Drosophila melanogaster: one gene and its partners. The protein of the gene in region 3 interacts with the protein of the main gene of each other region in a pairwise test. Each region holds a gene or a part of one and is shown on either strand. Other genes may lie near its edges.

Evidence for each region. Proteins that work in one complex are often made in the same cells at the same time.
Region 1: the proteins of stan (region 3) and esn interact in a two-hybrid assay, tested with the Drosophila melanogaster proteins (one study listed by BioGRID).
Region 2: the proteins of stan (region 3) and fz interact in binary tests that used the Drosophila melanogaster proteins (3 or more experiments, as listed by UniProt).

Annotation. Positions count from the first base shown.
Region 1 is NT_033778.4:7,102,933-7,111,074, reverse strand, and holds the start of esn (espinas), read right to left. Parts: upstream 4,396-8,142; 5' UTR 4,134-4,395; coding exon 3,151-4,133; intron 1-3,150.
Region 2 is NT_037436.4:14,270,587-14,278,737, reverse strand, and holds the start of fz (frizzled), read right to left. Parts: upstream 4,396-8,151; 5' UTR 3,684-4,395; coding exon 3,012-3,683; intron 1-3,011. UniProt on the Drosophila melanogaster protein: Receptor for Wnt proteins.
Region 3 is NT_033778.4:10,669,176-10,677,678, forward strand, and holds the start of stan (starry night), read left to right. Parts: upstream 1-4,169; 5' UTR 4,170-4,794; intron 4,795-8,503. UniProt on the Drosophila melanogaster protein: Involved in the fz signaling pathway that controls wing tissue polarity. Also mediates homophilic cell adhesion. May play a role in initiating prehair morphogenesis. May play a critical role in tissue polarity and in formation of normal dendrite fields.

The DNA of each region.
Region 1 (8,142 bases), 3.6 Mb from region 3:
TTTTAGAGCTCCCATGGAAATCAATGCGGTGTGTGGGCGACTGGAGATCTCGGCAATGCCATTTGGTAATTGTCCAGGTCCAGACCCAAGTTGCCACAATTTGGTAACGATTTGTAAAGGGGCATGACGGCACAAAACGGGCTTCAGGTTCGCTTCCCACCTGTATTTGGCCAACAAAGCGATGGCCATTAAATTAATTACACGGCCTGTGCTCTCCGCCGATTTCAATTAAACGTAAATTACGAAAATTAAACGCAACAATGCGCCAAACTGGTTATCGAAGTGCCCGACTCCCGATCGTGGCTAGAACACTTTACTTGGCTTACACACGCTCCCAATCAGCAACCTCTGACTTATTGCCACTAAATTGACTCCATCCTGATACGGAGCTCCTCGGAATTGTACATATGTAGCATATGTACCGCACAGGGCATCCAAGGAGAAAAGATAATCATAATCGGGCGGCAGAACAGGAAATATAATGAGCTTGCAAAGAAACGCCCTTCAATTTAGCCAGCTCCTCCCTCCCTTTCCCCTTTCCCCTTTGGCCCACGGCTTGTTTGGCTAATTTTATTTTGCGGTTTTCGATTTTATTTCATAAACACATTTCTGCTTTGCAAAATACTTAACCCTCCATCCCTCCCCTCCTTTGACCCGCCACTTCGAGATTATAAATTGAGTTTCCCCCAACTCGAGGCGAAATCAATCAACTCTTCTGTCTTCTTCTCCATTCACTTGTAAATCTTGTGTTTTGTTAATGCGTTTTATGGATTCTCGATTAGGTGTTGAATCAATAAAACGCGAGTTCTGACTTCCCAGCCACTTTAAGACAAAGATGGCTTATAAAACATTTGGCCCTGGGATTGTGTCACACTATAATGTGTGTGTCACTATAATAGGGGGTTGAATCTTCTGGAGAACAAGTTGTGGTTTTGATTGGCTTCGTTCGCTGACAGCCAGAGAAATTGCCCGAACGCCCAGCGAAAAAATAATTTGAAAATATGTAGAAAGAAGAAGAAAGGCCAAAGAAAATCAGATCCACTTCACTGAAGCGCTGAGCACCGAAGGGGCGTTACTTGATGTGTCCGCGAATCAGTTAAAGTCAGATTAAGCTCCCGCCCCTCACGACCATGCCTCTTCCCTACACGATTGTCGGCCTTTTGCCATTTCAATTAAAATGCCATATATCACGGCCAAAAGGCTTTCGCTCCAACTCCATTCCATTCCACTCGAATCCACTCGCAACTACTGCGCACATCGAATGCAATTAAAATCAAATGCGTAGCTCATTTTTAAATCACAGCAAATCGTAAACCGATAAGTCCGGAGTGAACCACTCGGGTGGTCCATGGACGCGGACTAGCCCCTCGCTTCTGGCCAACTTCAATTAGCCAGGCTGGCAAAAGAGGGCCGCCGGCGGTCCCAACTTATTTACTTTATTGTTGAGATTCCTATGCAAAGTGTTCGGCCGGCCAGGCGCTTAATTACGCTTTAAGTAGCCGCCAGTCAATATTGGGTTTGGTTTATTTAAACTGCGAATGTAATAGCCCCGCTGATTGCGAATGGCTCGAGAGGATGTGCATATGGATGTGGAACTGGAGGTGGAACTGGAGGTGGATGTGCGTCTCAAATTACAAAGTTCTGTTTAAGGGAAATTGATGGCGCACTCCTTCCACCAATATTTTATGGCTTCACCCAAAACAAAATCTAATTAACAGTTTGCGTAGATTTATGAACAGAAGTCCATGCAAATGAAGTCTGCATGCGGAATGCAGAGAATACAAAAGATGGAAGAGATGGCAGAAATGGCAAAGATGCCGAGGACCTGAAAGATCTGAAAGATCTGAAAGATACAGAATACCTTTTCGATGAAGGGCACTCAGTCAGGCGGCAAAAAGAACTCAATTTATGAAGTCGTCGGATGGAATTTATGAGGCTGCAGGATGCAAACACAAGGTGACGGGCGATCGGAGGAGAAGGACCTCGTGAGGATGGGCTCAGTGGACCCGAAGTTCTGCCAGCCTCGTTTAACCGCTGCTGTTGCCACTTAGCTGCATGCAATTCATTTTGCAGTTAACAAAACTCGACAGCGAGGCGAAGGAAGGAGCACGTGCTGGCCAGAAAGTTGATAAATAACTTTCCGGTGCCAGTTTTGCAAATAGTCGGGCATTAATAACACCTTCTTAGCGAGCCCACAAAGTCGCCTCCAGCTGACAGAGCCTCTTATGGCGGATTATTTGTGCCATTATTCGAGGGTGACCTGTAGGATTTGTACTCTCAGCGCAATTGAAACTGATACGCGTAGCCAACAACGGCTGTTGATCAGGTGAAAATGATAAACTCCGCTCTATTTATGAGCCGCCAAAGAGGTATGCCTTATCGTTCTGGATTCCTTAAGAAGTTCTGAAGAAATTAATTTATCCTAAACAATATGAAATCTAATAAGGGAAAGAAATGGCGATGGTGACAAAAATGACAACAGAAAAAAAGATCACGGGATTAATTCCATATTAACATTGCAAACTTCAAATGGGCTATAAACCCAAGGGCCAAAAACAACAATCGTGTCCATTGGTTTATTACCTTTTAAACAATTGCAATTGTAGTCGGTAAATTCGGTAAATTGTTTGGCCTTCGTACTTCTCTTTCAATAGTTGTAAAAACAACATTGGTAGAAAGTTGCAGACCCACATTTTCAACGGCAGCTAAAAGGTATTAAATTACCAAACACGAAAGCGGCCATTTTCAATATAACGAGTATTAACTCAACGTAAGTCGGAAATCTATAAAGCTGTCAGTGTGCCAGCCCATTTTAATGCGATCTGCCTTGCCTATAACTTCGAATAGCCAGTTTAATTTGAAGAACCATAAAGTATGATTCCAGTGGTTAGGAATAGAATCCTCCAGAACCCAACTGCTCCTCAACTCGGAGCACGGAGCACGGCTCATATGAAGCTATTAAGCAGCCATCAAATTGGGCCGTAAACTCTCTACTGCGACGCCCGTTTTATAGTCACTTAAATTGGGAAATGCAAAGCTCATCAAATGGATTTCAAATTAGTTGGCCACATTCCCGCCGACAACTCCGCTTTCCCTCGCCCACTTATCGCCGAGAGTTATGGCCATTAGAGATAGCCGGTGGAAACTCACATTTTGGGTGCTGTGGCTGCCGGCGGTGGCGGCCTCTTTGAGTGGCCATCAAATCTGGCCAATTGTTCTTCAATATCGCTGAGCTGGATATCGTCGGCAATGGCCTGGTTGAAGTAGCAGTTGGCCTTCCTCCTGCTCTTGTCCACCTCGAGGAGCTGCTCCGTATCCTTGGGATTTAGCCAAACGGCGTTCCTGTTGCGGCAGCGGTTCAGGTTCCTCAGATCGTCATATCGGAGGATCTGCTGCCCCTGGATCCTTGCTATCTGGGAGGGCGTTAAGCTGCCGGTCAGCATGGCCACCTCCACGTCATCGTCGGTCTCCCCGTTGCAGGAGATTCCCGAGGAGTGGAACTGATCCTCGCTGCTCAGCTTCCTCTGCACGCAGCCGGAGGATTGGGCCACGGCCATGGCCAAAGTGGGTGCAGGGGATTCGTTGGGCAGCTCCAGCGCTATTTCGTAGGGTGCTAGGGTGATCGTGGTGGCCTTTGGCTTGGTCTTGGTTCGCACTGCCGACTTGATGATGCACTTCGCAGGGGCGTTGCCCCGATGTTTGGAGCACGTGGACTTGCTACTCTGCTTCCTGGGCGTCAGTTTGGTCACCGTCGATAGCCGGGACTGCTGTCCAGCTCCTATCTGCGGCATTTTCGGCGGCTGAACCTGCTCCTCCAGCCGCTCCCGGCTGGCCAGGCGCTCCCTTTCCGCGGACACAGCCCGTCGGCGACTCCGCCGTATGCTGGGCATGTTCCGGGGGAACAGCTTGCCCGCCTCCGCCTGGGAGCTCTTGGAGAGACTGTCGCAGCTCCGGTGGCGGGTGGGACTGCCGCTGCTGGCGGTGGTGGTGGAGCTGTCGCTAATCGTGGTGGCCGTGTTGGCCAGCACTGAGGAGCACTCGCTCAGGTTGACGATGTCCCGGTAGTTCCTCGACTGATCCTGCTTGCCCACCTGCGGCAGCCGGATCTTCCACCAGCGCTTCTTCGAGAGCATCGCGGTGAGTGGAACGCACGTCAATCACGGGTCGCGGGCCAATCAATCAATTGACACATTAACGAACGGGGAACACCTTAAGCAGTTGGCAGGTATGCGGCGGCCTGCAATTACCGTCGCCAGCAATTAACGGGCGATCCGCTTGCTCCAATTACGTGCACTCGCGATCGGATTGATACGTATCGGCTGGGATTCTATCTGAATTCCTGGTTCGCGAAAGAACAGCACTCGCACCGCTCGCTTTGGGGCTGCTCAAACAACTGAAGATTGTAGAAAGTAGCTGTTGGCCGAAAGGCGGCTTTTGGCCAGGTTGGTGCAGGTCAAACTCACCACCAAGACGATCCAGCCAACTCACCACAGCTCTCTTTCTCTCATCTATATATCTCTCGCTCGCTCTTGTGGCCCAAGCAAGTGCAGGTAAAACAGGTGGCACAGGTGAGTCGAGTGGCTTTCGGTTGAGTGCTTCGGATTCGAGCCAGAATGTGGTGGCGTTTATTAGCCAGCTATTGAAGAGGCAGATTCTGGTAGCTGCAACTGGTTGATGCAGCTGTCTTCGGGCCATTTGACACATTTCAGGCCGTTTAGCGATTGACCCATTTCAATCACGGCCAACAAGGGAAGACCACGGCCAGCGTCCCTTGGGCGTTGTGTTACCACATTAGCAGCGCACTCATAGGTGGTCATTAGACTGCGGGCTTGGTGAAAATGTGGTAATCGGGTAAGGCCCCTCTCATGAAATCCATCCGTTTGCCCCGGAATGGAAATGAAGACGGGCGGATGGAACGTGGACGAGGGAACAAACCAATCATTGGAAATTAGGGTTTGTGGCTTCCCTATGCTGCACGGGACTCTCTTCTTGTGGCAGCACACGGACGGTAATGGAGTCGACACCGATTTCACATATTATTCAATTAACACGCAGCTACTGATTCATTGCAATTGAGGCTGAGCTAGAATTTACTAGCCAGTGCAATTATGTCCTGTTGATATTTGGGATAAGTATTCTTCAAAATGGTTTTTAGTTTAAAGTTATGTGGTGATTTTGATAATCGACTTAATAGATCAAAGACCAGTTTCACTTCCGAGGCATTCCACTAACTATCTCGGATATAAAAATGCTATGAAAATTATTTGCACAATATAAAATGTGTCTTTCGTTGAATTATTTTGAGTCGCTATATAAAGTGTCTCTCTCGATGAATTAATTAGAGCCGCTAACTTCTCACACTTTGCAATTATACTTTCTTCTCTGGCTACTAACAACCAGAAATAATTTAAAATTAGTGACCTTTACTACAAGCTAAAGGATTCAATTGAATTTTTAACTTACCTTCAAAACTCTCCCAAACGAATTGCCATTGCGAAGTTTGCGTTTTAACAAATTGTTTCACCAACTGCAATGAAAGACGAAAGTAAATAAATTAATTTCCCCATTTAACGTTAAATATTTGCACTCTCTTTCGACACTCAAAGAGTGATGGGCGAAATGGCCCAACTAATTGAGGACCAGGCCAGAAGAGAACAGCCAACATGAAGCGGCTGAAGGCAAACGAAATAAGCAAGTGACTGCCAAAAGTATTTTAATTGCCCGGAGTTTTCCGAAAAGAGGGGCGTCAAAACTTTATTTGACAGTTGGAACAACTGAACAATTCATGAAACAATTTTGATTAAAACCGAGACACACGGTCTCCAACTGGAGAAATGTCAGCGAAAGCAGTTGTCAGATGCCAGCAGCAGGTGAAAATTGGTGCACTGAGAACATTAGATGCTCAAGGTGATTGTATTATCATTATCGTTAGTAATCAATCATTGGTTGTATGGTCGATAGACAATGCCTTTAAGCTCCATTCAACTATAAAACTAACTTCTGAATTAGATTCACTACATTTCCCGACCACATCTTAAAGAAGGATGTTCTGCTTGATTTAAATGACAATATGAATACTCCTGACTGAATACTGTAAAGAAGTGAAAAGTGGGGATAATTTTTCCAAGTGTAGCCCTTTTCCCACTTTGGCCATGGCCAACAGGTTAAAGTCAACGTCATTGCAGCAGGAGCGCAAAAAACAACAAGCCCGAAAGTGACGCTAGTAAAACAACGACGATAATATCCTGCAGAGGTCGTAAAAGTTGAGATTTGAACGTGCAACGTACACGTGTAAGTCAAAAGTTGCCCCGGGCGGTGGGCGGTGGGCGATGGTCGGAGGAGGGGCGTGGCTGTTTGGCGCAGCTGCCGCCACTACGCGACACAAGATGGCGCTGCGTGGCACTAAAAAGTATTAAAACAATTTACACTTTGTAAAAAAGGCAGCAACGGGGCAATAACACCGACTGTTGTGCGGCTTGTCGCACGTGTCGCGTGGGGTGGGGGGTGTGTAGCTGTGGAGGGGTGGCTGTGTAGTGTTTTATTAATATTTTTTTCACTTGCCCCAAACAACATGGTGCCTGTCATAATCATAACTGTATCTCAGCGGCAAAGACAACGGGAAAATGGTAACAAAAATATAAGGAAATAAAATAAAATCAGGGTTGCCGTTGACAATCGCGTTATCATAATTCTCTTCTACTAAATTCAAATAGCATTTTCGCCTATTTGCATAAACAATGTGAAAGTCGTAAAGTGAAAAATTGCAAAATATATATAAAACACACAAGCGAGTGGGCAAAGGCAGTGGCAAAGAGAAAGGCAGGGCGAAAGCACTTCAAAAGGGGCGGATGGGCATAGATGGGCATAGAACGCGCAAAAAGTAAAGCTGCAATTGCTCGCTGAACAGTGAAGGCACAGTGGGGCAAATCGGTGAACCAAGGTGGTACTTAAGCCCCACAATGTTAAAAATTATATGTATATTCCAAACAAAAGTCTACTATGTATTTATTTATATAGATATGTGCTTGTGATATTTACGCTGGCATAGAATATACTTCGTTTCTAGCATATATTTCATATTTCACAATTATGTTCTTGAGGTTGGAGTTTTCTTCAAAATTCAATATATATTGTTGTAAGAATAACTAAATATTTAGTAAATTCATTTAAATATGAACTGTTCTAATAAGACAATCTTCGAATGGTTTAGTAAGCTTTCATCAATATTCCTATGGTTTTTATGACTTAAAATTAATTAAAATTTCGCATCTACGAATTGCGCATTGAACAGAATAACTTTACACTAACACTACATTCAATCAAATAACTTAAAGTTACCGTTAATTTTGTTAGCATTTTTGTACTATTCAAGGTGGAACCACAGTGTGCATCCTCTTGCGATTCTCTGGTTGCTTCCGCCATGGCATAAAAACCACCAACAGGGAGTCTTTTCAATGAAAAGCGAGGTGCGTAGCCCCAATCCGCTTGCCAATCTCGGCGGCTGTGCCTCCTCCTGCTCCTCCTGCCCCTCGTCTGACTTCCTCTTAAGACAATAAGCACTGGGCCAGGATGTTTGATGGGGAGTTGGGCTGGAAAGGCAGGCAGGAATCAGCGGGAGTCGCCACAATTCACACACTCGTGTGGCAGGAGTGTGTAGGCGGCAAATGTTTCCCTAATGATGACGTCGCTTATGAATTGTTGTCGCTGGCGGGGAAATGTGGCAAAAGATCTCAAGTGCTGCCTCCGTCGTATTTATGAAAAATATTGTTGCTCAGGGGTGGCGAAAACAACGGGTAGCTGGGAGGAGCAATGATTACGTTGATTTGCCAAATGGCGCTGATGACAGTCGGCGACTGAAGAGGCTCCGCAGAGCCAGCGACTACGTGAGTCTACTGATTTTTAATTAAAAACGCAAAAACACAAAAACCAAGCCGGTCGGAGGAAAACCACCCGAACCTCTGGGGGAGAGTGGAAAAAAACGAAGAAAGCGGGGCTCGGAAACAACAAGGAAAAACTCAAAGTGCGCGTCACAAGGTTTCCTTTTGTTAATCGACTTGATTGTAAATATTTTCTTGCATAAGCTCTGTTCCCTTACTCCTTCCAATCCTGTTCTGTCACTCCCCTATATTTGACTAAACAGAA
Region 2 (8,151 bases), on a different chromosome or scaffold from region 3:
CAAATATACTATGATCAACAAAAAAGTTATCGATTGATCCCTTCAGAAATCGTATTCTATAGAATTGTATTATAACAAATATTCTTATGTGACATACATATATGAGATGAAGTCTGTAGTGATCCTTTAGATTTTTGTTCATTCTGCCAATTGTTTTGAAATTACTGTTCAGCTCAACTGTTTGAGTGTCTATATTTTCCCAACGAAAAATCGTTGGTATTTGTGTTTATGTCTTCAATATCCTACTGAGCTTCCCATTTACTTCCGGCCATCATTATCCCTTTTCCGTGTCGAATTCCACCGAAACGTATACCATTAGATGACGTCAAAACCTTTTCAGAGCAAACAGATTACTGCGGGGCAATGTCCGATTGATGGCTACATGTGTAGACAACTGGGCAACCAGACGAACGCCACCCACCGCCCACCGCCCACTTTTATCCAGAATGCCCGTGCCCCGATTGCAAACACCGCCTAACCCATGGCGGCCGAAAATAAATTAATCAAAGAGCGCGAAAGGACAACAGTTTAGTTTGCGGAAAGGCGGGAAGGATTTCAGTTTGGTTGTTTAGGAAATCGTAAATCCATTAAAAGCCTCATTTAGAACGCTTTCGACGCATTTAGAGGGGGTGAAGTGAAAGAGAATCAGTCCGATTTGGGGATTATTTGTAGGCCCTAAATTGATTCATCCGGAGCGGAGACTCGCCCCCAACCAGGACTTTTAATTGTGAACGAATCCGTAATTGATTGTGCCCTCTTATGACTGCTGGCTTTCCACTCAGTTTCCTTTCAGATGGAAAACAGATTTTCCTACCCCGCACCGCAGCCTTTGCATAATGGATTCGGGGCAAGAAAAGGCCAAGAAAAAGGACTGTGAAATGCGGCAAAAGGGTTGAGTTGTGTCATGCCCTACGGGTTTTCGCCTATGATTATTTCAGCACAGACTGAGGGAATTTTCAACTAATTCCATTCGGCATTTCGCACTCTAATTCATCCGGCCGTGTTTTGCCCTTTGGTTTGGGTAATTGATTTGCGAAATTACATATTTTGTATGCCAGATTTTTGTTGGCACGAATTTCAACGAGAGTGACTGGTTAATTTAGTCAAAAAGGTCTGACTGACAAGCAAATCGGAAAATTTCAAAGAGGAAAATTGAAAAATTAGCCCAGATGAATGGAATTAATATTTAATATACTCTGCTGAATTTAGGAAACATGTTAAAAGTTGGCTTTGGGTTAAATCGTTCAAAGGTGTCGGGCAATAATGTTATTTTAGGAATTCGAGATGAAATAGCCAATCGACAATTGTGTTTTCACAGCTCGGTTTGAATAGAATAACTTTTAGTAATAGTCTTTTCTAATATCAATCAATATTTCTCTGGGTTAAAATATAGTTCTTTGTCTATTAATCATAAAGTTTATAATTTTGATTTCGACCAATTTCTTATCTGTACCTGTGGAGCCCTTATAAAACGCTTGTTAATACCACTAGTTTCTAACATGGCAATTATATGTTTATATTGTCGGATCATTATCTATCCAATAAGCATTAATTCACGCTCTCACACTGCGCCATTATCATTAGCAGACAAAGAGACCTATCTAGCTCATAAAGCACGGCAAACAGGGCCAAAACACACAGAGATACAGATACGGATTCATTTGCAGATACTCTTACAGACAGAATCGTGATGTGGGCCAAATGCAATCCAGGCAAACAAGCTGCTAAATTTCGCACGCAGCTCTCAAAAGGCATTTAAGCACGGGGTCTGGGGACTCCGGCTAAACCAAAGATGCTGACAGCCATGATGATATGGGGATGGAAAGAAGGCAGCAAGGCCAAGAGGAACTGATGACACACAGCCAAGGAAAAACGAGACCAATCAAGAAAAAGCGAGTGAGACGAAAGAAGAAAAAACACCGAGAAATCGCAATGGTAAAGTAGCTAAGAGATACACATGTATCCGCCAGATATCCAGACACTGAGGGAAGTGTGAATTATCCTGCCTCAAAGTATTTAATGCGCTTTACTTATGGCAGCCGGCAACAACAGAGTGACGGCTAAAAATAGCAAAAGATAAACACATTGGAAACACATAGACGATGATCATCACTCATCCAAAACCAACAGAAAATAAATCGTGGAAAAATCAGTCTGCTGAGGGGCTTAAGAACCCGAAAAAAAGCTGCTAAAGGAAAAGGGTGGAAAATTAATTAAAGAACGTGAAAATGCAACAGGCTGACCCTCAGTTCAAGTTATTAAACATTCTATGGTTCATGTTACATTTTTTTTTTACTTTTTTTGGGAATACTTTTAAGCAGGCATTACAAATTACACAACTCCAAAAAGAACTGGTTTACCTTTCCTCAACCGAAGCCAAAGAAAAAACGATCTACCTGCCGCTGTTAACCATCTTTTGTGAGCTGCGGGCAGGTAGAATGCGGGCTCGTCGCCCTTCTCTCCTTCTTCTCGTTATTCCTGGCCTGCCAAGGACCTCCTGCTGTTTTCCCTGGTGGTTGGAAATTGTTTTCTCGGCGCAACAGGATTTGCATTTTTCCCTACTTCTACGCTGCTCTACAAATTGAGTCTGGAGTTCAAATGAAGACATAAAAAAATCATTGACCTACATGGGACCAACCCAAATGTGGCATATTAAGTTCCAGAAATAAACGAAATACTCACTAAAAGGCTTGGGGTACTTAAAGCATACATTTAGTCAAGAAAGCGCTAAATACATTCGCTAAACAGATGTTAGTACCCAAAATTTATTTGTGCAACTTCGTTTTTAGTTTGGACATGGTTAAAAGTTTGTGCTCACCCGACGGATGATTATAGAACTTGTTTTTAACTTTTGTCATAATCATAACATGTTTAATCATAAAATTAAATGCATAAATAATAGAAAACTAATGTTTTAAAAGGTATACAGTATGCGCCTATAACCCCCTATTTTTATATGATGCTTATTTTTCGGCGCTTTTTAGTGAATTTATTTTCATTAAAGAACTTACCTTTCCGCCAACTTTTAGTTCGTAGCCCATTCCCAGAGGCGTTTTCAGTTGCACGGGGCACACGAATCCAATGTTTCGGTGCGGACTTTCTACGCCCGTCTGGTGTTTACGGGTAGTGACCTTAGCCACACTCCTTGTGGGCGTGGCCGCCGTGGAGGCCGATGATGTGGTATTCTCCGCCACGCACAAATCCTCGCCTCCATGGACGGGAAATTTGGAGCACTCCAGATTTTCCGGCCAGTTAAAGTTGTAGGTTTTCATTAACTTTTCACATACCCGCGCCGATTCGCACAGAGATCGACAAGGCGGAATGGGTCGCTCCAAAATTGTGCAGACCGGAACGTACAGGGAACAGAGGAACAACTGGAGGTCATCACTGCAGCCGATCTTCACGAGCGGAGCAAACTGATGGACCTCCAGACCCGCCTCCTCCTGCTTGGTATGGCCAATAAGATTTGGCATAATGGTCATGTTATATGGTATATTCTTGCAGATCGATATGGTGATGGGTTCACAGCGATTGTGATGTGGCAGTCCATCTAGTTCGGTCCCAGAACTGGCCATTAATCCCCCGCCGCTGCGATAATACGGACTCGCATCGAGGGGGCTCTGATCGTAGCGCTGGACCCCCTGTATCAGGGTGGGTAAAATAAACAGGATTTGACGCCACATTTTGGAATTTTTCGATATCGCTGTCAAATAACTTTTGGGGCTTTTTCTCGATCTCTTTAAACACTTTAAAACACACACATGTTGCTCATCTACTTGCACTCACTTATACACCATTGAATACTTATTTGATTTATTTTCCCTGTTTAAAAACTTCACTCCCACGAAACACTTAACACCTTTTAAATATTTGCCGGCGGCAAATATTTAGTTTGGCCTTATAAGCAAATAATAAATATTTCTCTCTATTCTCTTATTTGCGTTTGCTTTTGCTCTTTATTTTGTTTAGACTTTTTTTGTTATTTTCCGACTTCAATTTGGTTTAACCGTTTGAATTCGACTTTGCTATTTGTTGTTGGCAAAATATTATTGTGTCAAAATTTAATTTTTGGGGGTCTTTAGGACTTAGTAGCGTTGGCTTTTATCTGGCACAGTACCGGGCTTTACTTTTCTAGCAGCCACATTTTTATCTTGCTGTATGCACATACATAAGTACCGTTAGCTGTATATCATTTATGCCTCCCCCGCTTTTTGAATTTCCTTATTTCTTTCACTTTTTCGAAAACCGCGCAAAAAAATAACTGAACAAACACGGAGTCGAATTCAACTTTTTCGCACGGGACTTACGTTAAAAGACGAAAACGGAGCCGGAGTTCGAGTCGAAATCAATCCGCGAGCACATCCGCATGGTAGGGCATACGCTGACAAACTGAGGAACTGAAAACATGGGGCTCTTTCCAAGCCGCTCTCTCACCGTATCGTTCTCCTGCTCACACGCTGAATATGCGCTCTTTCGCTCGAATGGTGTGAGAGGAGGTTTTATTCAGCTATACGCTTTGTAGTATAGCACTGGGGGCGACCTTGAATTTGACACTCTCGGCGGGAGAGCCAGAGAGCCAAAGAGAGCGAAGTGAAAGACAGGGCTGTTATGCCTTTTGTTTGGATGCTGTCTCGCTCGCACTCTGTCTCCTCTCAACTTCTTGGCCTCCTGTTGATTAGCAGACAGGAAAAAGAAAGCATCAACAAACAACTAAATAAGAGACCATTTAATTAATTAGAATTCAAGATGATTATGCAATCGACAGGGCTAATAGGAAATTAGGGGCGGAAGCTGTGCCCAAATCTAGGTGTTGGGCCCGCTCAATGGAAATTTGAACATCGATATTCACTTTGTAAATACTTAAATATTTATAGATTCCAATTTAAATATTAATTAATTAACCATTTTTTCGATATAATAAATTATAACCAATCTTATGCTTATAAAATGAATAAAAGAAATAAGTGCTGCATTTAAAATGGCTCCAATATAAAAAGACTAGAATCATTTTGCCAGCAAAAAATCCTTGCTGAAATGGGATACATATCCGAAAACGAAATGAGTATACAACATTTATGTCCGAATGTCAAAAAGTTACAGTGCATGTCAGCTAAATATTTTTCAGTTTCTAAAATGTCATATTGCTTAGGTCACCGCACCTTCTTATCTTTTTATATCAATCCATCGATGCCCGTTACACTTCCCACTGTTCTTTGGTAATCTTCAGCTGTTGCAAGTGCCGTTAGAAGACATTTGCCCTCTACTGGAATATACCTATAATAATTGCTTTTCTCCAGCTTTCTTCCTCTATAGAAATACATATTTGCACGCGTTAATTTCCTTGATTTCTGCGACAATTTTTATCGTCGACCATTTCTCTGCGCACTTGCATTTACCATTTATCTTTATCTTTAGTTTTTGCTGTTGTTTGTTTACTTGCTCGCTTTTTTCCGGCAGTTAATTAAGTCATTAACTTGCGTTTAATCTGAGCTTTAGCATGAGTGAAGAGAACTTATCGCGGGAATTTGTCTAATGACCCCGTGGTGGATCGCCAAGGGAGGTGTGGGGGGTTAGGCATCTGCTGCCAGTCAATAAACTTGTTATATTGACAATAATGATGACATTAAAGGAGTCTTGGCAGTCTTTTGTCTTTGTCACCTGTAGAACCCTTTTCTCCGATCAGGCTTTCTCTGTCTCTGTCGCTCTCTACTTAACATATCTCTTTCAGCACATAACTGGCTCTCCCGCACTCTCTTTTGCGTTAAACAAGTGTTACCGGTTTAGCCGGCAAAGTTCATTTTATGCTTTGCTCTTTTTATCCGCTCTCTTCTTGGCTCCATCAACCCCAGTTCTCCCCCACCGCCACCTCCTCATCCTATTCTTCGCTTCTACACTTCGTCGGCTTGTTTAATAAAAAGCGCCAAAGTTGCGCCGCATAAAAAGGCTCTTTTTCTCGGTCTCCCCCTTGCAATCGCTAGATACACTTAACAAAAAATTAAAGTACAATTTTCAGATAAATAAGCAGTGCACTTTTAAAATCACTTATATACTATAATAATAAACAAACATATAATTTATAATTTCCGTAGAGGAGCTTGGAATATGTTAAAGGCTACTACTACTAACGATTTTAAGCTGTCTAAGCACATATCTTTCGAATTTCTTCGCTTTAAGATAAAATTTCCCATCAATTCATTATTTACATATATGATAATATTTATGAGTAGATTTTTACTACGATGTGTGGTTACATATCACAAATTTAAATTAAATATTGATATAAATTTTTTTCCAGTGCATGTATGTCTTGGCTTCTGGGTCTCCATTGTTGTTGTTCAGTCGGTTTCCGTTTGCCGCTTGTTGTTGGTATTGCTGCTGTTTTGCAGTTGCCGCTCATTTTATGTTTACAAGTGAACGAACTTTGACGTTTTGCTCTGTGCCTCTCTTTCTCTGTCTGTCTGTGCTCCTCTTCCGCTCCCACTCCTTTGTTGGAAAGTGATTCCGTTGTTGTTGTCATTCTGCCGTGTCTGTTTTTGGAATATGTAATTTAATGTAATTAAAATGGTATAAAGGGTAAAAATAACACCCCGAATGCAGATGAACTTCATTAGATAAGCGAAAGGAAAATTGAATTAGCAGCGACTTCTTTCTCACCTATTTTCATTCATGCTGTTTAGGGAATAATTGGTTTTAATGGCAGTTAATAAGGGTTTTAGGAAGCATGCTATTTATGGAAATTAGAACTTAGAACAAGCCTTTAATAAATTCTTTATTTCCTTTTTATTACTACTACTATAAACTTGGTAGTGCAAAATCGTTTTAACAAAAATTCTTATATATGTAAATCTTATGCTTTAAATCCAAACGATTAAAATGCAAATAAGTTATTAACAAAAATGAAACGTTTAAAAAACTTTTTTCTGAGTGCAGATATTTTTTTTTTTTTTTTTTTTTTTTTTTTTTTAACTTTGCTTTTATTTATTGAATCTTCTTGTATAAGAACTAACAATAAGTTTAAAAATCTTAACTATAACAAGTATTTTTTGAACAGTTGTATTATTTTTCCAACTGTTCTATGTTTAAACGGCCCTAATAATTTATTCGCTGGGTTGGTAGGTCCTTTCGCCGGAGACGGGAACGGCTGCTGAGCTGGATTAGACCTCGCGCTAGGTGGTTGGGGTGCGTGTGAAGCTTGCTATGGTATTTTTCCTTAAGTTCCGTGATTGCGTTGGTAACTGATGGGATATTTAAGTCTCTTTGGATGTTTTCACTCCGAACGTACCACGGTGCCCCAGTGATGGTTCTCAGAATCTTTGATTGTGCTCGCTGAATGATGTCAATATTGCTGTTGCTGGCATTGCCCCATAACTGTGAGCCATAGGTCCAGATTGGTTTCAATATAGAATTGTAGAGCAAGACCTTGTGATCTAGGCTGAGCGGAGAACCAGAGTTGATGAGCCAGTGTAAGTTGTTGGCTTTGAGTTTAAGTTGGGTTTTTTTGGCTTCAATGTGCCTGCGCCATGTGAGTCTTCTGTCTAGGTGTACTCCTAGGTACGTTACCTCGTCTGCTTTCGGGAGTGGTATGCTGTTCAACAAGAGCGGAGGACAGTCTTGTCTGTTTAGCGTAAACGTCACGTGCTTGCATTTTTGCTCGTTTACTTTTATTCGCCAGTCAGAGAGCCACTTCTCAATGTCGATGAGGTACAGTGCCAACTGTGCTGTAGCTTGGATAGGGGACCTTGAACGGCTAAGGATAGCTGTATCGTCGGCAAATGTGGATACCGTTAAGCGACTATTTGTAGGGATGTCGGCTGTATAGATGAGGTATAAGGTTGGCCCAAGAACGCTGCCTTGGGGGACTCCAGCCTCAATTGTATGAACAGTGGAAGTGGCAGTGTTGCACCGCACTGCAAACTTTCTGTCATAGAGGTAAGACTTTAGAAGTTTGTGTGTGCTTTCGGGTAGGGATATTTTAATTTTAAACATTAGGCCGTCGAGCCAGACTTTGTCGAATGCTTGGGATACGTCTAAAAATACTGCTGTACAGTATTCGCGATATTCAAATGCAGTTCTTATTTCCGTTGTAATACGATTCACCTGTTCAATGGTTCCAGTGGCTTTCGCGAAATCCAAATTGGTGGGCTGGGATTA
Region 3 (8,503 bases):
AGTACCGCCGGCAAACAAGCTAAGAGCCATAGGAAAAGCACTCGGAACAACAAACATTTTAGCGCCACGCCACGCCACGCTACGCCATGCCGTTGAATATTTTTAAAGTTTTTGACATAGTTTTCCACGTCGGCATCCAGCTGGGCATCCACGCCCACTTGAGCACGCCTCCCCTTCGCACGCACTCGCAAATTTTCGCAGTTCCGCAATTCGGAAAAACCAGCAGACGTCTGGCTAATGAGCTGCAGGAAGCCCACCTGCGAACGGTGGAAAGCGTAATGCACTCGGTATGCATTTTTTATATCAACTTATAAGTGGTTCCGCCGAAATAAAAAAGTAAAGCAACACGAACTGCGGAACGGAGTTTCCCAGGTGGCAATGGCGTGGCGCGTAGTGCGCTAATTTAGATGATGCAGGTGTGAAGCCCAGGTAAATGGGTTAAAATGAGGCATGGTGGGCGGAAAGGAGAGGGCAGCCGCAGGACTCAGTAGTTCAGGTGGTTAGTTAGTGGAGTGCTCGCATTGCCACGTTTCGTTGGCGGAATGTTGTGATTGTAAAGAGATCTTCTCTCTCTAGGAAGCCACGGAAAATTGGCAAAAATAATTAGAAATCCTGTGGAGTAGAGTAAAGCATCAGACAGCTGATATTTGGAGTAAATAACTACATAAGTACTGCAGATCTTTTCAGGAGTGTGAAAATTTGTATAGATAACAATATGGTTAATTATTAGAAGCAATCCGAGTTTTTCTTCTAATCAGAAAAACATTTTATCTTTAAATACTAAATGGAATAAGAGTATATAATTCCTAGAAGTATAAACTAAAATTTCTCAGCTCTGAATTTATTCAGGCCAGGTCAATCAATCGGGATAAAAAGCGTAGTATAATTTTCGGAGCTCTGTGCTGTCAAAAAAATAATCTTGAGAAAATTTTGCAGGATTGCGCCACTCGCTATGCATAAATTAATTTGGTTTCAAAGTTAGATCATCGCATTTGGATGTATTGAATGTTTAACGATTTTCGTTCACTTTGGGTAAAATACTTGTGAAATTTAAGCTTAAATTGCCATTTTAGGAGAATTTTTGGTTATCTATCGTCCACTCATATTTGTGCTTTTGGCTTTCTCCTCATTAGCTCTCTCCACAATTTTCACAATTTCTTTTCTATTTTTCTATTTCTCTTTCTTTTCCAGTAGCTATCTGCCCCCCCTTTTTTTTGCGTTTTTTTCCCCATTCTGTTGGGCAAAATTAACTTTCCTTGCCGTTGCATAAAATTTAAATTATATTTGCTTTTATTGCCGCTGTTTTATTTTATTTCATTTCGAGTCGCGTCCTTTGCTTTGCTTTATTTTTGCAAGATTGCTTGTTTTTCCTCGAGCGGCATTCTATTTTTGGTGTGCGCATCATTTCCATATCAATAACAGATGGACCTCGAATTCCCGGCTCCCTGCTCCCAGGAAAATAGCTTGACCTGGGTCGGAAAGAACTGGGAAACTGGCAAGTTGGATAGCTGGAAAACTGAAGCTCCTGGCATCACTAAAATCGCATTTGCCGGCGGGGATTATTTGCTATAATTCATGCTGTCAATGCAAATTGAAATTGTGTCACGCAGTCAAGTCGGGCATTTGACGTTCGCATTTTCCATTTTCCGCACTCGCCAATTTTCCAGCATGCCTTTTCCTATTTCATTCATTTTTTTTCCCGTATTTTTTTCTACACACCGCTAACCGCAATTGTTGGCCAGCTTACATCTCCCAGGTCCTGCCGGCGAAATCTCAAAACACAAATGGATTTTTAAATTACCCTCGTGGCACTTTTCGACTCCTCCACATTGCAGGATAACGCTGCGAGGACGAGAACGGGGATGACAATGAGAGCCATAAAACTGTGCTGTGTGTAGGTAGGTGCATTGAATTATCTGCGACATTCTGTGCAGTTGGTTTAATTCAGCAAAATGCATAGATATGAGAGGGGGGATCATAAACTATGCATGGGCAGCGTTTGTCGAGCGAAAGAACGCTCAAATTGCTCCTTCTGAAGATGCAGCCTGTGGCTCCTTGGCTTGCTTTGCGCTTTTTGCCCGCTGCTCGTCCTTTGCATTGTTGAGTTATGTTTCTTCCGATCCCACACGCCCCCAACCCCCCCCCCACTCAGCGCCACCCACTGAACACCCTGACCTCTACGCCCACTAACCAACCTCCCATCTCATCCTTGCGCACATTGAGGTTCAGTGAAGCGGCAGCAAAACCCCTTCGCCTTCCTCCCCTTCCTGCGTTTTTATATCGCTCGCAGGCGGCACTTGCATAAACCAAATGCAGAGACAAGTGTCTTCGTCCTGCAGAGAGAGAAAGATGTGGACACTATGGATGGATAGCCACTCAATCCAAACAAAAATGTGCCACATAAACAAGAAGACGCTGATACGTTGAGTGCATTTTACATATTTTTTTACTACTCTCAGATTGTTTATTTATATTGAATACAAAAATCGGACTTTGCTTATTTAAACAAAATTCCTCGAAGTGATATTTTTCCAAGTGTTTGGCCTGCTTGGCTGGACACGCTGAATCGTGGAGGTTTGGCCTTGTTCCCTCCTGATAACCCATCTTCCAACTCCGATCTCCGAAAAGGGCTGCCGGCTTTCGACGTGTGTCAAGTGTGCTGCATTTGTTTAATGCCAGCGCTCAGTAATTGGAAAGCATGTCGAACATGTCGAATTTATTGCCCCGCAAAAAGCACACAGATACAAATTGAAACGGTTACAGATTACGGATGCAGCTAGCTACACATGGCCACAAGGTTACATAGACACGGATACAGATCAATGGGGGAATTCAGAGCATTCCGAGTCAATGGCTTGGAAGAGCCTCAACCAAATGCAATTAATCAAACGCAAGGGGCCAATGTCAATTACATGCAAGAAACCCCCATTTCGGTCTCCTATTCTCCTATTCCTTCGATTCCTCCCAAAATCCCTTCGATTCGTTGCTATTCGGAAGTATTCGGACCACGTCAGCTGGCCAAATGCGAGTTGTTGGCCAAACGACGATGTCTTGGCCAACACCTTCCTGTAAGCTATAAATTCCGCCGACACATACATACATCTACCAGCGTAGCCATTACCCACGACTGTTGTCCTTGTGGGCCAAAAGCTTGTTCGGTTTCTGGGTCCCAGCATATGTTTATCACTGCTGCCGAATTCTGCCAACCAAAATTGCATTAAATATTTTGCATAATTCGATAAACTGAAATCTAATCGAATGGCAAGCAGGAACATGCGAATTTCTGGCATACCTATGTATAGATCCCAATTGGAATAATGATTCATCCCTAATGGCTTCGTAATTGAAACTATTCACTTAACAGCTCTTGACACTTGAACCTCATCATAACATGGAAAACGGTCATTTGGTCGGTTTTAATGGTGTACTACATTTTTGGTTTTGACAGTGAACTTTTAGCATATTATGTTTCTGAACATAAATTGCGTTGATTTAGACTATCGCTTAATTATGCCAAATAATATGTTTGTTTGTTTATTTAGTTTTCAAACCAAGGCGTTCAACAGAAAATGAATTATTATTGGTGGGACACAAAAACTAGGCTATATGGAATATTATTTATTAATATTAACAAATGAATACACCACATGTAAATTTATAAGTTAGCAATTTTATGTTCAAGTTTTACCCGTAAGGGATAATGTTCCACCATCTTTAGATTCGCAAACTAATTCCGATTACAGGTGTTGGCCCGATGCACAGATAACACATTTATTTAACATTTATTTAATAAATAGTAGTAAAATTATATAAATATCACATTTAATAAATTGAGTCGATTTAAATCTTTGAGCATGCAAAGCGTGCTGCAAAACTAATTTACTGATAAGAAAAAGACTTTCGAAGTTTCCAAAGATTGAATATCCTACAGGTTGAAGAATCCTGGATCAAATTGCACGTTTTTATGCTCGGGGATGCAAACCGAAATTTGGTGGCACCTCTCTCTGCTGCCGCAACATGTTGCAACAGTCGCGGCAATGTTGCTGCAACACGCAGTCACCCCCCGCAGAAAATCCACCACCGACGAAAGTATCCATCGGATACACGAACTCGCTTCGGCTTCCAACTGAGTTTTAGCAAGAAACTCAGTTTCTGTTTCTGGTTTTGCCAGTTACCACTGCGACTCCGGACCGATTGGACGCGTTTTGAGCGTTTGGCCAGCAAGAACGGTATTATTTTTCACTCGGGGCTACGCGTGCGCGTCTCTGCAAAGTCAAAAGCAAAGACAAATGCAAAGGCAAGTGCAAAGCCAAAAGGCAGAGGTAAACGCAAACCCAAAGTAACAACTTCGACGGTCGAAATTACCGGTTTTTCGCCAACACAACATACAACAATCCTCGCTCTCAGTGAATTTTAGCGCGCGGTCTTTTCTTCGCCTGCTGTTTTCAGAAAAGTGCGTTGGCTTTTCCAACAACCACCCCCTTTTTTTAGCCGCCCAGCTTAACGGTCGGGGTTATAGTCGGTTTAGCATTCGAATTATTCGAATTTCCCGGAATCAAAATAGTTAAATCAGTTTAAACAGTGCTCTAGAGTGAGGCCAGTCACACAAACTGGCGAGTGCTAATTATAATATATTGTGTTAATAATACAAACACAAGATTCACGCAGAGGAAACAACACGGATGCGCGATTTTAAATGCAATATTATAAATATTTAACAATGCAGCCGTGCAGCTAAAGCGGATTATTGGCCACCCACGCGTGGAAATTCAGCGGCAGAGCAAACAAAAGCCTGTAAGTTCACACGTTCCAGCCAGGATATATCAAGGATATGTGCATGTGCTCGCGCATATACATATGTCCTTGTGGGCGGGATGCGGCTGCATTCTAATGGGAATTGTGCGACGCATGACACCTGATTCATGACGTATGACAGGTGTCGTTCCAACAGGACACTATATGTTCCGCAGGCGTGGCCTTAAATCTCTTAGATAAACTTCGTATTTAAGGGCTTACGCCATAGCGGAATCGCGTAATTCATATTTTCAAAGGGTTATAAGCTCTAGAAAAGTATTTTGTATCTGCATATAAATGGGGGCCTGTATGAAATATTGCTAGAACCTTTATTTGTTATATGATATGGAAAGACGCTTAGTGGTTCTGGCTACCTCTGAAATGTTTCGATTTAAGACGTTCTTAATTAACGGCTTTCAGCTCTAGGGCTTCGGCAATAAAATAGAGCTCCAATTGGGCCTTTAAACCTAAGGCCTCTTTCTTGGCCATCTCCAATTAGCAGTTGGCCCAAACAGTTGGCCGATGGCCGAAGTCGAAGTCGAAGTCCGACGCTCACACAGTGCAACTGTTAAAGTTCAGAGCCATCGCAAAAAGATACAAACGCGAAGCTCTAAACAAACATTAAACTGAATACCAAATGAGACAACAAAAGGAGGAAGCACAATAAAAGTCACATTAAAACGTGGGTCAAAAACGCGGAGAGCGCGAGGAGAGAAAGGAGAAGAGTTGGGTCAAAACATAACCGAAATCGGAATCGGGGAATCGTGGAATCAAATGCCTGCACGAGATACAAATGTATCTGTATCTGAGCGTTGCAAGTGCTTTGTTTTCCCTGCATTTCACACTTGTCCATGGGATTTTGCCTTTGCCATTGCGTTTGTATCTTTGTTTCTGCGCCCTTTGTCTGGCGCATAAATATTTCAGCAGGCCGGGACAAACTTATCTGCTGGATACATTATTCACTCGACTCAGTTTTGTCGGATTGCCAATTTATTAAGATAGATTTTATTTTCGAGGCCATTAACAGGGCCTTTGTTATATTTCGATGGGGGCCAGATACTCTCGCACATTTATGTTTTATGATTTTCTAGTTGGAATGCGGTGTGTTTGGTGCAATTGGAAGAGTCAAGTCAAGTCCATTTTGAGCCTGCCAGTGGCAAGTAGCTGAAAAATTGTTGTAAGACTGGTTTTCTGCTACTGCTCCTCGTTCGACCCCTTTCTCCCTGCCTCTCTCTAGCTCTCTCTGTCTCTCTTTCTCGGCGTGTTACCAACCTTTTCCCATTCTTCTTGCGGCTGGTGCAGAGAAAAAAAAGTTATTTACTTAGGTTAATTATGTGATCCAAGTTTAGTTACACACAAAAACATCAAATGTCGTTCTATTATATTTTATAAGACGATTAATATTAAGAGTTAAAGGCTTAAGGTGTTATCCTTTAATTTTTACAATAGGCTGTTTTCTTGAAATATGTGTAGAATGAGTTTAATCCATTTATATTTGAAATCAAATAATTGCGGATATAAAGATTAAGTTGTAGTAGAGGAATTACTTGAATAAAATTTAAGAAAAAGTAGGTAAATAAAATATTTTACCGTGCTTAAAATGAGTTTGTTAGCGCCTGGCTCTCTTCGCGGTTTTGCAGCTGTCTCGGCCAGGTTAGGAGCAATCCACCACCGGCAGGCAGATCCGCTACGGGCCATCATCCTGACCAGAACGCATCCTCTTCTTCTTCGGTAGCCGCAACCTGTTTTTCATTGGTTATGTTTTTTGTTTTTTTGAGTTCGAAGTGATCAGTTAAGACTTCAGTTGGCCAAGGAGCCAACGAAAAAGGTGATTTTTTCCGGCTTCTGATGCCACATTCACTGCGAATAGCCAACTCGCACGGCGAACTAACCTCAGTCAATCCATTCGATATCCATGCCGGCATAGGAAAACTCGTTATGACTCTTGATTAATTAACATTTGAATGCTGTCTCGTGCCAGTTAATGTGGCTGATTTGTGACCGGCTTGAGTCCATCAAAATATCAACAGTCTATTGTGGAATTTATTACAGAATCAGAGGGCCAATGGCCAAATGAGATTTGCATGGCATGGAGTTGGACGAATTCGTGTGCACACACCAGAGATTCATTGATGACGTTGATGGTCCACATTTTTCGGTATCTTTTGTGGGTTTATGGTGGCCTCTCTTGGCCACTACTCACACGGCTATCCATGAGATACTTCTGCGTAGGCATCGGCCCTCTTGGTCGCGCACTCAAAACTGGTTTCGGCCACATTCAAAATTGTTATGTTAGAATAAAAGCTTAATTGATGCATATACACACGTACGGTTCAGTTTTATACGGCAGCAGTGGTCCGTAGATACAGCCGAAAAAAAAAACAGTCAGATACATTTACATATACAAATACAGATGGAAGCAAATCCAGACGCAGCTGGATAGGTTATGTCATGCGGCGTCTATCGCATGATTGATGGCATTTGGTTGGCTATGTTTCTCTGGGCTCCTCCGTTGAAATTAGATATTGATTTGGTTTCGTTAATAATTGTATTTCGGATGCTCAACAGGTGGAAAAGTCTAATACACGAAATGAATTATGAATGCTGGCTGTGAAAGCATATACCAATTAAATATTTACTTAGCTCCGAAAAGCTATCTATCAACTATCAACGCAATGCCCAGGAAAAATATTATGTGAAATTGTTTTCTTTCAATGAAATATCTAAGTTTGAACTGCAAAAGCTTAATGCCTTGTTATATTCCATATTGACTTACGTTTATTTTGTTTACTCGAAAGACCATGTCTTAAAAACATGAAATAAAATGAATTTAATTTATATTTAATAAAATGCCGGCTTTCAGAAGTTGTATGAACTAAACAAATTGAATTTACCATATTTATGCGTCAATTAGAATCTGGAATTTAGTGTCCTTGCTCGATGAAATTACAGCTTGTTTGGCCGTTGGCAAACTAAAATCTCGCATGTTCAAAGCAACCGAAGCGGTGTGGTGGCAACCCTGTCCATGGCTGGATGCCCAAATTGATTGATTGACAGCCCTGCACATCAGGCGCATCCGCCCCCCCCCCCCCCCAAACGATGTTTTTAGTTTTTGCTAAATTCACTATCACGTCAAGTAGAGCGGGTGGTTTTTGGGTTGCGGTTGGCAAATGCATGAATAATGTGGCAAAAAGGATGTTCCATTCCCTTGCAGATGGGGAATAGGAATTCACACGTCGCTGGAATCGGGATCGGCAAGCTCGGCATCGGGTGATTCAGAAGTTCGAGAGTGTGCGAGAGACCTCATTAGTGTTAATTCAATTAGAGGAGCCAAAGTTTGTGGCACTTTGGCTAATGAGGCATGTCCAAGCATCCAGAGTATGCCCAAACGCCAGGGAGCCCAGAGATGTGTGCCGTGCCGTCGATTTGCATGCTAGAAATTTGTTTCAATTGCATTAATTAGACTTATCAATTTGGGTGGGCGGATGCACGTATGGAGGCCGCCGGGCAGATCGGGCTGTCAAATTAAGTGAATGACGTTGTGCTTCTCATTAGGAAGAATAAGTCACTTTAAATTGGGACGGAACTCTTTGCCTTCAATTCAAATTCGATATATGTATGTGGCAAATTAATACGCCGATTGAAGATTAGTTATCAAACGTAAATTGATTAGCAAGTTTAATTGTCTACCACCTGAAAATTAAGTTCT